Linked DNA regions of Daphnia pulex. The protein of the gene in region 4 purifies or fractionates together with the protein of the main gene of each other region. This does not show direct contact. Links are inferred from orthologs where the notes say so. Each region holds a gene or a part of one and is shown on either strand. Other genes may lie near its edges.

The links.
Region 1: the proteins of transcriptional adapter 3-B-like (region 4) and molybdopterin synthase catalytic subunit-like purify together in Drosophila melanogaster (affinity purification with mass spectrometry; 3 studies listed by BioGRID). This does not show direct contact. The link is inferred for Daphnia pulex from reciprocal best matches to the Drosophila melanogaster genes Ada3 and Mocs2B.
Region 2: the proteins of transcriptional adapter 3-B-like (region 4) and DNA polymerase epsilon subunit 3-like purify together in Drosophila melanogaster (affinity purification with mass spectrometry; 3 studies listed by BioGRID). This does not show direct contact. The link is inferred for Daphnia pulex from reciprocal best matches to the Drosophila melanogaster genes Ada3 and Chrac-14.
Region 3: the proteins of transcriptional adapter 3-B-like (region 4) and transcription initiation protein SPT3 homolog purify together in Drosophila melanogaster (affinity purification with western blotting; 3 studies listed by BioGRID, with this or other methods). This does not show direct contact. The link is inferred for Daphnia pulex from reciprocal best matches to the Drosophila melanogaster genes Ada3 and Spt3.

What each region holds. Positions count from the first base shown.
Region 1 is NC_060026.1:10,881,551-10,885,897, forward strand, and holds the start of molybdopterin synthase catalytic subunit-like, read right to left. Parts: upstream 2,812-4,347; 5' UTR 2,086-2,811; coding exon 1,957-2,085; intron 1,894-1,956; coding exon 1,781-1,893; intron 1,681-1,780; coding exon 1,493-1,680; intron 671-1,492; coding exon 576-670; intron 505-575; coding exon 339-504; intron 282-338; coding exon 1-281. Other genes in the region: pecanex-like protein 1, read right to left, coding at 3,799-4,002, 4,065-4,205, 4,272-4,347. UniProt on the Drosophila melanogaster protein: Catalytic subunit of the molybdopterin synthase complex, a complex that catalyzes the conversion of precursor Z into molybdopterin.
Region 2 is NC_060025.1:6,579,751-6,582,616, forward strand, and holds DNA polymerase epsilon subunit 3-like, read right to left. Parts: upstream 1,570-2,866; 5' UTR 1,422-1,569; intron 1,221-1,421; exon of another isoform or gene 1,198-1,220; 5' UTR 1,187-1,197; coding exon 1,001-1,186; intron 930-1,000; coding exon 845-929; intron 787-844; coding exon 590-786; 3' UTR 513-589; downstream 1-512. Other genes in the region: E3 ubiquitin-protein ligase LRSAM1-like, read left to right, coding at 1-167, 237-356. UniProt on the Drosophila melanogaster protein: Accessory component of the DNA polymerase epsilon complex. Participates in DNA repair and in chromosomal DNA replication. Histone-like protein which promotes nucleosome sliding of ATP-dependent nucleosome remodeling complexes.
Region 3 is NC_060027.1:750,356-753,695, forward strand, and holds transcription initiation protein SPT3 homolog, read right to left. Parts: upstream 2,063-3,340; 5' UTR 1,899-2,062; coding exon 1,844-1,898; intron 1,779-1,843; coding exon 1,601-1,778; intron 1,533-1,600; coding exon 1,226-1,532; intron 1,164-1,225; coding exon 906-1,163; intron 867-905; exon of another isoform or gene 837-866; coding exon 690-836; 3' UTR 689-689; coding exon of another isoform or gene 569-688; 3' UTR 508-568; downstream 1-507. Other genes in the region: DALR anticodon-binding domain-containing protein 3-like, read left to right, coding at 1-142, 212-507, 569-688; HEAT repeat-containing protein 6-like, read left to right, coding at 2,338-2,523, 2,579-2,827, 2,898-3,134, 3,199-3,283. UniProt on the Drosophila melanogaster protein: Component of the transcription regulatory complex SAGA, a multiprotein complex that activates transcription by remodeling chromatin and mediating histone acetylation and deubiquitination. The SAGA complex predominantly acetylates histone H3.
Region 4 is NC_060019.1:11,487,468-11,491,525, forward strand, and holds transcriptional adapter 3-B-like, read right to left. Parts: upstream 2,720-4,058; 5' UTR 2,568-2,719; coding exon 2,387-2,567; intron 2,312-2,386; coding exon 2,175-2,311; intron 2,102-2,174; coding exon 1,970-2,101; intron 1,907-1,969; coding exon 1,763-1,906; intron 1,686-1,762; coding exon 1,471-1,685; intron 1,406-1,470; coding exon 1,281-1,405; intron 1,215-1,280; coding exon 1,084-1,214; intron 1,027-1,083; coding exon 868-1,026; intron 798-867; coding exon 654-797; 3' UTR 564-653; downstream 1-563. Other genes in the region: protein OPI10 homolog, read left to right, coding at 32-474.

The DNA.
Region 1 (4,347 bases), on a different chromosome or scaffold from region 4:
TATCAAATCTTCATCTTCTTTATTATTCTGAAGATTAAACGGTCCGTCGAAATATTCAGGACTAATGCTTTCCAAATGAAGGATTCTATCTTCAAGGGCTTTCAAGCGTCCGTACACATCCAGTGGAATAGGTTGTTCTCTTGAATTAAAACCCAAGTGTTTTTCCATATTTTGTAGCCGTTCTTGGATAGCAGGAGTCGGATTCAATTTGGTGTTTACTGAAGATGGAGCCGGAACTTCAGAGTGTGTTTGTGGTCCCCACATATTTACGCATCTCGACACTAAAACGTAAAGAAATCAGTAATCAGCGTTGAATCCTTAAAATAAAATAATTTTACCCTTTAGATGACTTTTACTATCTTTTCTGCTTACAAGCACTGCCTCTGTGCGAGCACATGAATTCTCTAATTCGTTTAATGGTAGTCTGTGACAGAACTCCTGAACGTTGAATACGTCCGACTCTGATCGTTTCCGTTCCATAAACGCAGTAATTCGTTTTCCCAACTGAAAAATTAAAAACATTTAAAATATTTATTGAGAAAAGACTTGATAAAAGTAAAACGGATCAACAATACCTCTAAATTTGAAGCCTTGATCTGAACGCAATCGGCAGCTGCATAGTCCACCATTATTTTCCTCTTTTTAGATAGACTAGCGTCTTCTTCTTGATCTATATCAATTCAAAACATGCTATTGACTATTAAGCATCTATCACATCAAGCAAATATTCCAACAACTCATTCTCATGGAAATAAAAAATTTCAAATCCCGAATTTCCCCACCTAACAAGATTAGAATATTTTCGTACTTATTTTTTTTAATTTTGACTAATAAAAACTTCTGAACGCTTGTGCTTTCTTTAAGCCATACTTCTATAAGCCAAATAATCAAATGACGTACGCGGCAGTGAAGGGAACAAATGCAGAAGTCACAACTAAATACTAAATAAAGGACGTCTATGTGTGGTTGTCCCTATTCCGTCAGATAATTAGCTTAAAGCTTATAGGCAGCAAAGCTGTCGAACCACACGAAAACGTCTAATAGATTGAAGCAGTGCGTAGAATGCAGCATTGCAGCTACTCATCTTTAGAATCACACAGTATATGTTATTATATAATGAAAGGGCAAAGATTGGAAAGCGTTGGGAACTGGAAAGTACTTGGATAATAAGTAAAATGAATGTTAACATTGCTTAGTTAAAAAATAAAAAGAGAATTAAAAACCCTTAAAAACCTTATATTTTAAATGTCAGACTTGACAGCACTACGTAGATATTATCACTTTAGTAAGATTGAAACTACAGCCAAACTAACGTTCATGCTCCGATTTTTAACTAATGAAAAGTACTGGAAACCATTTCAAATATTGTTCTGATATCGGAAAATCGATTAAGGTTCAATATTTGTGTTACTTGTTAAGAATCAGTACTGTTATGAATTCAAAATTCATACAACAAATAGGAACAACTAAGCATTATTTGTTTAATTTTTACTTGTCCACAGGCATTCTTTGTTGGCTTTCCATTCAGGAGCACCATCACTATAAAGTTCTTTCTTCCAAATTGGTACAGACTTCTTAAGCGCGTCAATCCCAAATTGAACAGCCTCTAAAGATTCGGCTCGATGCTCGGATGAAACAGCTATTACAACACTTGCTTCACCAACCGGAACTTCTCCCAATCTGGAAAGAAAAATAGGTAATTAAAACAAACAAACAAACAAAAAAATGTTTCTTAAGTTTCCTCATTATAACTACAGTATGGTAAAAAAAAAAATTATACCTATGGTGGAATGCAATGTGTTTAACCTTCCATTTTTCTCTAATATTCTCACAAATTTTCTTGATTTCTTTACATGCCATTGGCTTGAAAGCTTCATACTCTAGACTAATCACCTTAAATATAAAGCAAATTTGATTTAGAAATATTTGACTTTAGATTATTCAAATTGACATTACTTTCTTTCCTTCAAAATTATTCCTTGTTGTTCCCACAAATAATGACACAGCTCCAGTAGAATGTTCAACCACTTTAGAGTAGATTGAATTCACATCAAGCTGTTCTTCAACTAAGTTAATAATATCCATTTTAAAATACAATTGAAGGGCTCTGGCGAATTAAGCTGTAGCACACTGCTTATGAAGAATCCTAGCGACCTAGCCACCACTTAATGGTGGGATCACTGCAATTTCCTTGCAATTTTTAATGTCTATAAGCTGATCAAATTCAACATATTCTTCATCAGCAGCTAGGACAATGTTCTTTGATATGGATTCTAGAGCTGGAAATTGTTCTGTAATGATGCACAAAAGATTTGCCCCAGTGATTCTTGAAGTTGTTCTGGAAAGTGAAATATTGTCAAAATCTTTTCCAACTAACTCTCTGGCCTTTGCAAAGAACAGAATCCGAATAACTACTTCATCCATTGATCAAGGTCAAGACTACAGCATCCCTGACTATAATTTTAACCAGATTTGTTGACATGTAACAATCAATAAAAAAATATATGTTAATTAGTTGTCACCGCAAAAGTAAATTTAACTTTGAGTAGTAATCTTGATTAGCAATACGCTCTTCTTATGCGTTGACTATGTGTCTGTAAAACTGTGACAGAGGCTCGGCAATCAGAAAAGCGTCTGGTCACTGGTCGTCTGCTGGCACTGGCAAGTGGGAAGTGGCAATGACATAAAGAGACTAAAGCGTATTTTTTAAAAATTCAAAAATTGTAATATGCGCGGAGTTTTTCTTGCGCGCAAAATATATACATTAATTTTATGCCCCCTTATCTGCAAGAAGCCAACAACGATGCAAATATTCTATGCAACTTTATGTGTATTGTGTATAGATGTTATACCCTTGAAAAAGTAGTGGTCTAGCAAAAAATCGTGCGCAGTTTACGCCGATGCGCACCACAGCGGCAGATAGCAGAACTAAACTTTTTATTACGCTTGACTACCTGTCTACTTCAAGAAACGAGACGAGAACCGACTGCTTGTCGAACAAAGGACTTGAAGTAGACAGGTAGTCAAGCGTAAAAAAAAGTTTAGTTCTGCTATCTGCCGCTGTGGTGCGCATCGGCGTAAACTGCGCACGATTTTTTTCTAGACTACTACTTTTTCAAGGGTATAACATCTATATCGTATCAGAGCGATCGTATTCGTTCACCGATTCTTTCATAATCAACAATTTCATAATATTCAAATTTCAAACTATGTGCATACCGGCATACTATTGTCAGGGGTATGGAGAGATTTATGGAGATATCTTTCTCTCCATACCCCTGCTATTGTTATTTAAAAATCCGACAAGTTTTTCTATCAGACACCAAATAAAATGACAGGCGCATTCTTATGCTACTGGAGTCACTCCTCTATGCGACTGTTAAGTGTTTACTTTCTCACCATCACTCCTTGTGTCACTACTAACACGGGAATTTTCGTGATTTTAATAATTAACAGTAACTATGAGGCGGGTGCGGTAGTTGAATAAGGAAAAATCTAAATATATAGTTCCTAGACTACAAACAATCCAAAAGTTTATTTGTTTCGAATTACTCAATTTCAAATTTCATTCGACATTTGAAAAACTCGGTAAACGTTATTGACAATGTTTTCAAATCACAGTGGTTTTTCCTAGTCAATGTCAAATAACACATAGCATTTCCGCATAACACAAACATTATTTACAAAACAAGGTTCGTGAACAAATTTCGGGGTTCACATTCAAACCAAAATACCGTTTCATATTACAACGATGAGCCTAATGGACTCGAAAAAAAAACACTGCGGCGTTTGGGAATTTCAATCAGCAACTCCCTGGGTTTTAAGCTTAGTATCATTAACGACGATAGAATCCCCGATGTTGACACTAACCAATGATGCAATTTCGACCGCCGATTCGGCGATTGGGACGTATTTATCGTCTATTTTCAAGAGAAGGATGACGCGATCCACGTGCGATCTTTGTCGCGAATCTGGATGATTAGGCACCCAACGATGTACCACCTAATCAAACACAAAGTACAGTAAAAGGAAAACTATTCACCCATCGCGTATAGTTTTCTTACCTGTCCTTCCATACCCACTTCGGGAAGCCATGATTTCCAATAAGATTTTCCACCTTGGTTACGAATTGTTGGACTTGGCCAGAGAACATCAATTCGTCGGCCCAGATTAATGGTATCGTAGACTTGATTGGGATCGACAATCTGAGTAGAGAAAAAATAAGTAAATTAATTTACAAATATACAATTTAGAAGAGCTTTAAAAAGTACCTTGACTCGTTGGTCGACAGAAATCCTGTTGTCCATAAACGGCTCCGTTTCGTACAGAGGTCGGTCAGTGTCGACA
Region 2 (2,866 bases), on a different chromosome or scaffold from region 4:
TTGTCCAGTATCAGCGTCTAATCGATAACATGCCTGATAATATTCAACATGCACAACAGTATCTTCCAAGTGCGCCTTCCTCTGTACTCGATGATGAGGAGGTGGCATCCGCTCCTCCGATGGAAGTTTTTATGGAAACTAATTGCGTCATATGCTTGGACAGTTCAGTAAGCTTACATTTATTACAGTTCAATTTTTCAAAACGAATTCATTCTAATTGCATTTATATTAAACAGTGCCAAGTTATATTCCTTTCTTGTGGACACTTATGTTGTTGTTCTGGATGTGGCAACAAGCTAAATCAATGCCCAATGTGCCGGGCAACCATCGTTAAACGACTGCAGGTTCACTCATAATGTTATTTATTTGCTTTTTAGCTTTTCATCGGTCATATCTTTGTGCCTTTGGCATCCTAAAAAAAATGTTTTCTTCATTTTTATCTTGTCTGTTGCTACTGTCGTTTCGAGACGTAAATCACACTTTAATTTTCACAGTATACAAACTATTTGAGGTCGTGTTTTTTTTTCTTTTATTAATTTTTTTGTCGTGCGAATACAAATTTTATCACACATTTTTTTGTCATTTAAGATCATTCATCCACTTCTTCATCCTCATTCTCCTTTTCATTTTCATTATCATTTTCATTGTCATTTTCATTATCATTTCCATTATCATTTTCTCCACCTTCATCTGATCCTTCTTCAATATCTTCCGGTTTTTTGTCGGATTTTTCCTGTTTCCGTTTAGCCATAGCTTCTTTGCGTTCCTTCTGTGCTTTCTTGTACACTGTAAAAGAAAAGAACATGTTGACATTCTAAAAATTGTTTTGAAAAAGAGAAATTACCTTCAAGAGAAGCCTGTAGTGGTTCAATAAATCTTTCAAATTCCATGTCAGCCATTGCTCCCAGGACATCCGGGCCACTGATGATCTTTATTTAACAAAAAAATTTTAGTAAATAATTGAGAGAATGGAACAAAATTTTCTGATTCTGTGATTCACCTTTCTGTTAGCTTTCATAGCCAGATTGTTAGAGCATGATGTGCAATAGAGAACAAATACAGAAGCAGCTTTAGCAATGGCGGTTCTAGCCTCTTTAGACACATTAACACCTTCTGGCAAGGATTCTTTTATGATTCTTGCTACTATTGAGTTGGGAAGGTTTAAGTCTTCAGGTCGTTCTGCCATTGCTTACGTACCTGGGAAAATCAAAACAAAATTCCTGTCATCAGCTAGATACATTAGTTGAACAAAACATATATTTCATCATATGAATTCTATTCAAATCAATAAAGAGAGAAAATGTCACTTATTATTTCAAATAATAACACCATTTAGTCATTTCCAAGAGATTTCTAGAAACTTTTTAAAAAATTAACTACACTTGTTACAAGATTTTCATAGGAAAAAGAAAACATCCTACCTGTCAAAACTTCTCCTACAATAATTTATTTCCGATTATACCGAAACCAACACTCCGACACTTGAAAACTTCAGATTTTTGCTGAAACAAATACACAGTCACAGTTGATGATTTCGATGTTGCTTCTGCTACAATAAAGGGCGGGAAAATAAGAAGTGCCAAGACCACATCGCCATCTGTGAGTAATATTCTAACCGTTTGCACAAATAAGTTTTTCGCCCCCGTTAGACCAGCAGTCGCGAGTCGCATAATAAAGAGGCGTATGATAAAGATAAATAATAATTTTTTTTATGTAGCACGAAGAAGATAAGCAGATCTTAATATATGAACAGACAAGATATAGGTTAAATATCAAACTAGTGAAATATCAATTTTATTACACCAATATTTAGTATTTACAGTACATTGTTGCTTCAGCAGCTTAGATTGGTTATTCTAACTTGAACCGATTTTGTTTTACTAGTATTATTTATTGTATCTTGAACAACACTTGGATGTTAAAACAAATCGACATGAAAATTTTAACAATCGTGATCACTTCTGTTCTTATTAGATTCAATAACGATTTTGACGGAATGGATGGAGATCACCAAATATGACGTACGCAAAAGACGGCAAAAGATCGTTAGACTTGTCGTTAGATAGTGTCAAGAGCGGCATGTGTAATAGGATAACAAACTTTCCTCCTTTTCGCCAAGCCACTCTACATCTCCGAGTCAAAGGGACCCAAACTTCCTTTAGCAGCCAAAAGTTAGATTTCCATCGATGCTAATCTTACAAGGGAATGACTGTTGTGTGTACCTGAAAACTTTTGAATGGATAATCGCTTGCTATACACCCGTATATAGCCTATAGGGAATAATAGATTGCCAAACGCCGAAATTACGAGAAGTTAGATTATTGATTTGCGACTCTAACTTTCACTTATAAAATTCGTTTCTCGGAAACCTCCTACCATCCCCAGTCGCCTACAAATCAGGTCATGGAATTCAAGACAAGTTTGATCCAAAGATATATTTTCAAATCCTACACAAAGTGTGAGAGTCGGGAATCAGAGAAAAGGCAGGATATGCCCCGGGATACTACTCATCCACTCCGACTCCAGGCAACGGATACAAAACTGATATACGCTGTGTCGCTGTCTACCATTGGCCCCTTCAGACCTACATCCGCCCACATCGGAAACTGTAAATCAGACGTGGATGGAAAAACAAAAAGTTGAAGAAATAAGTCTGACGCTCTTTTGAATGAGACGGATAAATGAACAAGTTTTGCTTACTCCCAAGTTTCTCTATAAATAAATAACAACAATTTAAGAAACAAATCTCTACTAAAATAATGGTTCATCTTTTTTTTTAAATAGACTAGGTAATCAAACTGTCTTTAATCATCGTTAATTTCATATATAATTTTTCCGATCTCAAAATTTTTCAAAGACATCAATC
Region 3 (3,340 bases), on a different chromosome or scaffold from region 4:
AGGCATCCAACGGAAGGTAAAAGTATGTCTGAAGCATGGATCACAGAGGCTGTTATCAGTTATGATTTCTTGCACAATGACACCACAAAACCAATGCATGCGGTAGGACTAGCTGGACTAGAAATTGATCCTCAATTCAGAGGTATTCAGTTTACCAAAATCATGGTTCCTTTTTAATAACTAATTATTGAATTTTTCATTTCTATTTTAGAAGCAATAAAGGTTTTGTACAACAGAAGTAGGGTTGCCTGTATACTTCAAAAATTTTCTGATGGAGTGGATTGCTCACTTTACCCTCCACTGCCAAGTTTGGATACGACCAATTTTAAGTTGCTGAAGCATAAAGCAGAAATTGAAATCACCTCCAAATATATTGCTGGATTTGTTCCTATGCTGAACAAATTTTCACTCACTCGCATCGCAAAGATAACTTCAGAGTTATGGCGATTTTTGCTATTTTTATCGCAGGATTATTCCCATTACTACAGTTCAGTTCGCACCCTATGTGTGAGTATTCTTTATTCAGGTTTCTTGCATACAATTTTACATTAAAGTTTCCTATTTTTAGGATGAACACAACCGATCGCATCCAACAATGCACGCACGAATTTGGATGTTGAAAGTGATATTAACAATTTACGACGCAGCTTTCGCCATATTGAATTTGAAGCCCTTGCAGTACGTTTAAATTACAGTGCCAGAAGTCGATGTCCAGGAGGAGGAACACCATTTCTTCGGAATGGAGAAAAAATTGAGTTGTGTGTATTGTTGAACCGTCTGATGGCCTCAGAGACTTCCGCTGTTTGAAGAGGTTTCATCGAATTTGACCATGTCGGCTAAAAATACGGAAATTTTGTTTTAAAGAATGATTATAATTATTGTAACATTCATTTTAATCCTTTTACCTTGAACAAATCAGCATTCGCTGGAGATACTCTTGGTGCAGTGTTACGTTGAACTGCGTCACTCACTTGCCCAGCCATATTGTCTCTTCGTACTATGAAGGCCAGATCTACTATTTGTGCGATGGTTTCGTAAGCAAAGTAACTGAGAATAGACCAAGCTGTCGCACTTAAAGCAACCTCAGGAGCTGGAGAATCTTTAAGTAACCAATCTTGAAATTTACCAGAAGGCTGGCCTCTCTTAAATGAGGTAGATTTGGCCTGACAAAAACAATTCTGTTAAATCTAGATTTTGAAAAAGCAGTTAGGTTGAATCAAAATACTTGAGAATATTCAATGTACTGCCCCTTCTCCATGGCTAATGTCATTCTCTCAATCCTTTCATTTCGTTCCTTGAGGGCATCATCAGGTAACAGGAAAGGTTTAGATGGATCTGCCACATTACACAGATAACATGATGGATCAAGGTGTTGTAGGAATGCAAGAGCAGAATTCAGTTTTTTATTTCCAGTGTGAAGATCAGAAAATTCAGTCATTATGTCTTTAGGCAAATCATCTTCTTTTGCCAAATCCTTAAACCCACTGGCTTGTAAATAGGTGCAAAATCTTCTCAGTTTAACTGGACTGTGCCTAATTTAACAGAAATCACTTCAATATATTGAATAACTTGAGATATTGTTAAACTGAAGGTTACCTACCTAAGTAAGACTAGAAATTCTTTGATACCAATTTTCTTTGAGTTAATTTTAACAGCAACCTCAGACAGTGCATTCAGGAACTGAATTAGTTGTTCCTTCACAATTTTCTCTACTAATTCAGCAGTTTCTTTCAGCGAATATTTGCTGTCGCCAAATCCATACATCATTTTTTGGATTTCTAAACATGTCGAATTAAATGTAGTTAGGAAATGTTGACATTGTTGGTCGTTAATATGAACTTACCCAAGATGTACCATCCATCGGTGGAAGAATTAGTGGATACATCAGCAGCTGGCATTTTTAGGAGATTGAGAATTTTGCTAATTTTTACAAAATATCAGTTGTGTTGGTATAATTCGTGTACCAAATAGTAATATCAACCGGTGTTTTCTAAAACTCCATTTGTTATTGTTTGAAGTCTGAACTGAACCCTAAAAGAAGGTATTGTGTGGTAGTCTGCTAGCCTAGCTAGACATATTTGAATTTGCCTCAATGCCAAAGCTAATTTTGAAACTATTTCAATTTTTTTCCCAAAATTTAGTAAGGAAAAAAAAATCTTTATTTTTTATGAACTTTTGAATGAACCACGCTTTCATTAATCTTAAACATTTTTCAATTAAGAAAAAAAAAAACCAAGCGGATGCCTTCGGTACTTCGTCGACACATAGCAGACGAAAATGTCGAAAAAATCAAGGACCTTCAATTTGTAAACAAAGTGTGACAATCGAGATAGAGTCATGGCTCTTTCTCAACTTAAATCATTAGACACAAATTATCTGACAGGGGTTCGAGAAAAGCTCAACCTATTGTTAGATAAGAAAAATGCAAATCCGGAAGAAATAACAAATTTCTTGGATAATCTGAACACCCTTTTCTTCGATCTTAAAAGGAAAGAATTGGAATCGTCGTCAGTCAATGTTCAAGTAAGATTCCATAAAAGTTATATTCATTTCACTGTTTAAAATCTTATGTTTATAGGATTCTGTAATTTTAGTATCAGATGTTTTAAAAATTGTGAAACATGAAGAATCTTTTAAAGTTGCCAAGACTTGTCAAATATGGGAACAAGTTTTACAACTTCCAAATGTACACTTAACAAGTCAAGCATCAGAGCAATTAATTGATTGGATTATAAAATCCCTTAAGAATGAAAATCATTTAATATTTACTGACATTTTCAATTGTCTTGCTGTGGCAGTCAACTTCAAAGAAGTTAAACAAACTAAAGTAGGTCTGAAACTGGGAATGAATGAAAAATTTTGAACAATAATGTTTCCCATTGAAATTACTAAATTAGGCTTTGGAGAAAGTGCTTAGTCCTTCTGGATTCTTGATCAATAAATTGAATGAAGAACAACAAATCAATAATCAAACAGTTCTCATTCTGAAAATTCTCTGCAATTTTACCAACTGTTCGGGAGAAAAGGATTGGTCTACAATATCAAAGGATGTAATTAACACATGTATCATCCAGTTCATAAAATTCCAAGAGCAACACCTAAATTCCGATCCAAACAATCTTAACCTTCTCAAGGTAAAACAGTGTTTCTTATAATGTCATGAAGAAATTTCTTAACCACATTCATTTATTTTACTAGGTTCTTAGTCTTTGTTTCTATGGATTAGAGAATACATTTGTTAGATTTACTGCTTCAACAGTGGCTCATTTGGAAAGTATCTTTAGTAAGGCTGCACATTTCGGAGACCTGCTTATTTGGATATGATATATATTCTTTATCT
Region 4 (4,058 bases):
TTAAAATACCACAAAATAATTTTTTTAATAGTGTACTTCAGGTGGCCCGAGCCAGATCTATCAGCCCCACCAGTGTGGCAACTACTAGGTAACCTCACCAATAACAAACCGTCAAGCATTTACAAAATCACTGGCTTGAAGAAGAATCCGGGAAGTTATAGCCCTAGTATGTTTGGGGTGCACCAGGGGGAAATACATCATCATGCTCAAATAGGGATTTCAATTGAGCCTCTTAGCCTCATTTCCAATCAATCTCCTAGTGCCATTACAGAGCCTAGTAGCACCACAACATTCCAGGAGTTTGCTGAACGTACTCTTCAAAATCTTTTCAATTATGCAGCAAGTTTTGCTGTTACTCAATCACAAATGACACCAAATCCATCAGAAAGTTTCATCCCAATGTCTGTTTTAAGAAACTGGTACACTAACTTTATTAGAAAACTAGAATTGAATCCTCAGTTTTGGAGAAGTTGAAAGAATTCTTATTAAATTCTTATCAACTTCAAGTAACCTCAACTTTTCATTGTTGAATACATGCTAATTGATTTAAGTAATAAACAAGGCTTGTTAAAAGTTTATATTGTTATGCAAAGTTCAATTAACCATCTTAGTTCATCTTCATCACACACGTCTTGTATTGTTTGAAAAAATATTTACATACTAGTCGTTCCCGTGTCCAGCTGTTTGACAATCGCTTCACGATCACGAAGTATTTTCCACATCTGATCTTTTTCTTTTTTGCTTAACGGGCGTTTTTTTTGTTTAGCGGCAGCCATTTTACGATATACGTCTAATACCTATTCAAAAGAAGTTGGGAATAATGTAGACGAGCTCGATAAGCAGAGATGACACTTGAAAAATGAATACCTCAGCGTCCGCTGCAATCAATTTTTTCCGTATTTCCTGACGTTTCATTTCTTCTTGACTGAGGCGGTACAGTCGTTTCAGTTGTTTCAAGTTGTGCAGTGATATGGCCCTCAATTCTCCTTGGCATCGACGTAACTCCGTCAATATTTCATCATCGGCCTTAATCAGGGGGTTAATAATACTACCTCTGAAATGTGTTTTGAATGAATAAATTACCGAATTAACGTTGGCTTCTTCGGAAGTTAAAATGCCTTGTTCTTCTAACTCTTGACGAATACGACGTTCAAGTGCAGCAGCTTGAGGTCCATTCATTGCTGCCTTCGTGCCAGTAGATTTCGCGTTTTCGTCTGTTACAGTAATTTCGAACCGCTAGTTGGCATTAGTTTTAAACAGGAAAACAATGAACAATATACCTTGCCCTTCTGATTCCATTGTGTCCTGCACAGAAGTTACAATATTTTCTTCTAAAAGAGCTGAAATGAGACGCTGGGTCATGGGTCCGCACATCCCCGTCGCAGATGTAGTATTTGTTTCAGCACTGAGTTATTAAATCTATCGTTAAGCAATATGCGGCTATTAGAAAAAAAAATATTAATTTTTTACTTGTTTTTAGCTGCTGTGTCCATTAATCTTTGAGCCTCTTCCGTTCCTACAGAAGATCCAGAGGTAATCTTCTTTTTCTCGCCGAAACGAGAGCCCTCTCTTTGCTCCTGAAGTAAATCATCTTCTGCCCACCGAAGTGTATAGTGGCGACCGAGAGGAGGAATTTTGAGGTATTCTTCATCCTCATTATGAGTTGAGATTAGTTCTTCTACTAGCTTTAGTTAAAACATCAATTACCACAAGAAAAAAAATTTAATTCCAAGTTATGTTAATCTTATACAAATCATTTTACCTTTAAATCATCATCTGTAAAAAGAGCACAGTATGGTTCTACAGAAGCCCAAAATTTGTTTGGTGTATCATTTTTGGCAGTTGATGTCTTCATTAATTCTAAAGGAGGCATTTCCTCAACAACTCCTTCTGGTGGGATAGGCTTCTATAAAATCAAAGAGATCATTACTTGACTGTAAATAAAACTACTTTTCATGAAACTAGGTACAGCTAGAGCAGATTTAATTTTCATCTGCTTTAAAAGTGGAGGTGTGTGTGCATCTCTAAGCTTTCCTGGTTGATCTTTGAACTTTTTAGGTGAACGCTCTTCTTGTTTTGATCGTTTTCCAGGAGATGGAGGCTAAAAAAAAACACATAGTGTTGTTGGCAAACAGAAAATAGACACAAGATGAAAAAAAAACTTTGATGAATACCTTTTCAGTCATTCCTGCAATTTCTCTCTGTAAATTTAAGGAACGCAAAACAACACAATTGAGTAGTGTTTCTAGTTCCATTTGTAAGGTGTCCAAATCATCCATCATAACACCCCCTTCTTCTGATCTAGCCGTAACTATAAACAATTGATTATATTTATATCTTTGTTAATTAGAAAACCAACAGAAAAACAAAAAAAATTAGTTCTTACTGGATGTGAAACGAGGTAAAACCTTTCCATAGTCGACAGCTCGGACATCAGCTAGAGTAACTTCTTCATCTGAGTCCTCAGGTTCTGAAACTCTTTCCCTTTTGACTTTAGTGGCTGACGTTGAACCTTTGACATTTGTAGCTCCTTTTCCTTTGGAGATATTACCTTTACCCGGAACCATTTTTCGGCCCAAATTTTAAATTTGACAAGACAATTCACGTACGAATGTACGATTTACGTTGTTTACTTGTCAAAAAAGCTTGGACTAGAATCGATACCTAACTTTCAAACTTTCGATTCGATATTTCGATTTACAACGTAAGAGAGAAAATGAGACTGGGTATTCGTCAAACGATAGCAGCGCCTCCTTGAATGGTTTAATGAAAACTTTGGATAACTTAAACCGTTTAAGTCGAAAGAGAAAAGACAATCAAAGTCTAATATATTTTTTTAAATTACTTGTTAAAAATATTTGAACGCAGTTTTCGAAATAATAAAATCAGGGAAATTGCAACTCAAAGTTTTAGACTTGATTTTCAAATTTTTCAAATTTTCATGTATTTCTTTAATGAATGCAGAATGCTTAATATAAATTTGTATGATATTTTATCGATTTCATTTAACTACAAATTCCATAGGCCAATGTATTTATTTAATTTAGTTGGTGTTTCACTATATTATTATGTGGCCGTTATGTCTGAAACAGCGCTAGTTTCAGGGCTGTAAAATTCCCTCGTCTGCGGGTCTCCAGTCTTCTTTTCTCTGGTGTTTTCAGTTTATTCCAATATGGCTACCGAGTGAAAAGGCAACGAGTTTTTGTGACACTAACATTATCTACGTTTCATGACAGTTTATTGTCTGTTTGAAATTAAAGTTTGAATCTGCGGCCTATCAGAGAGGAATTCCAGACCGAACTTCGTGAAGTGCAATTTATTTTTTCTACAAATAGCTGTGGAAACCTTGTTTTTCTTCATATTGTGATATGTGTGGGCTACACCATCTGTGTCACTTGCTTTGAAGAACCCAAAGGGGGGTCGAGTGCGTGTGGGGACATCCTTCGTTTTCAATAATTATTGAAGAATCCTGAGTTTCCTTGAAACAGCCATTTTTCAGTGACATTTTAGACACAATTTTCCAGTTCGCTCCTACTGCTTTGTGTGTACTGCAGCTATCCGTTCATTTCAAGGTAAGGAGACCGCTGTGTTGCACAATCATAAAAGTTCTGGATGGTGAAACATGACACCTTCATAATCAAAGCATGTTCTCAAAATTCCTCTCTTCGTTTCATAATTAGCACAGGTTTTTTTATACCATCCTGCCTAGTAAACCTTGAGTAATCTTGTGTGACATGCAGCAGTCTGACCCTAATTTATCCAAACAGTAGCATTCGTATGAGAGGCAGATATCAGGTGGTAAAATTTGATAGTGAGTTCATTTGGAAGTGAATTGTTTCTTTTTGCGACGATTGCAAATGGGTGGGGGGTTGCACAGCTGTACATGCGTTGGCGGGGTTGAAATAGGGCATGGGGGAATCTGTAGCTCAGGTATTGATCACGTCAGGAGGGAGGAAAAAGAGGAAGGGAAGGAGGAGTGGGGGTTGAATCCGACGACGGCACTTGGACTTGTGCGCAGCGTCCAAACACACATACTTTCTTGATCCATTCCCATCCCT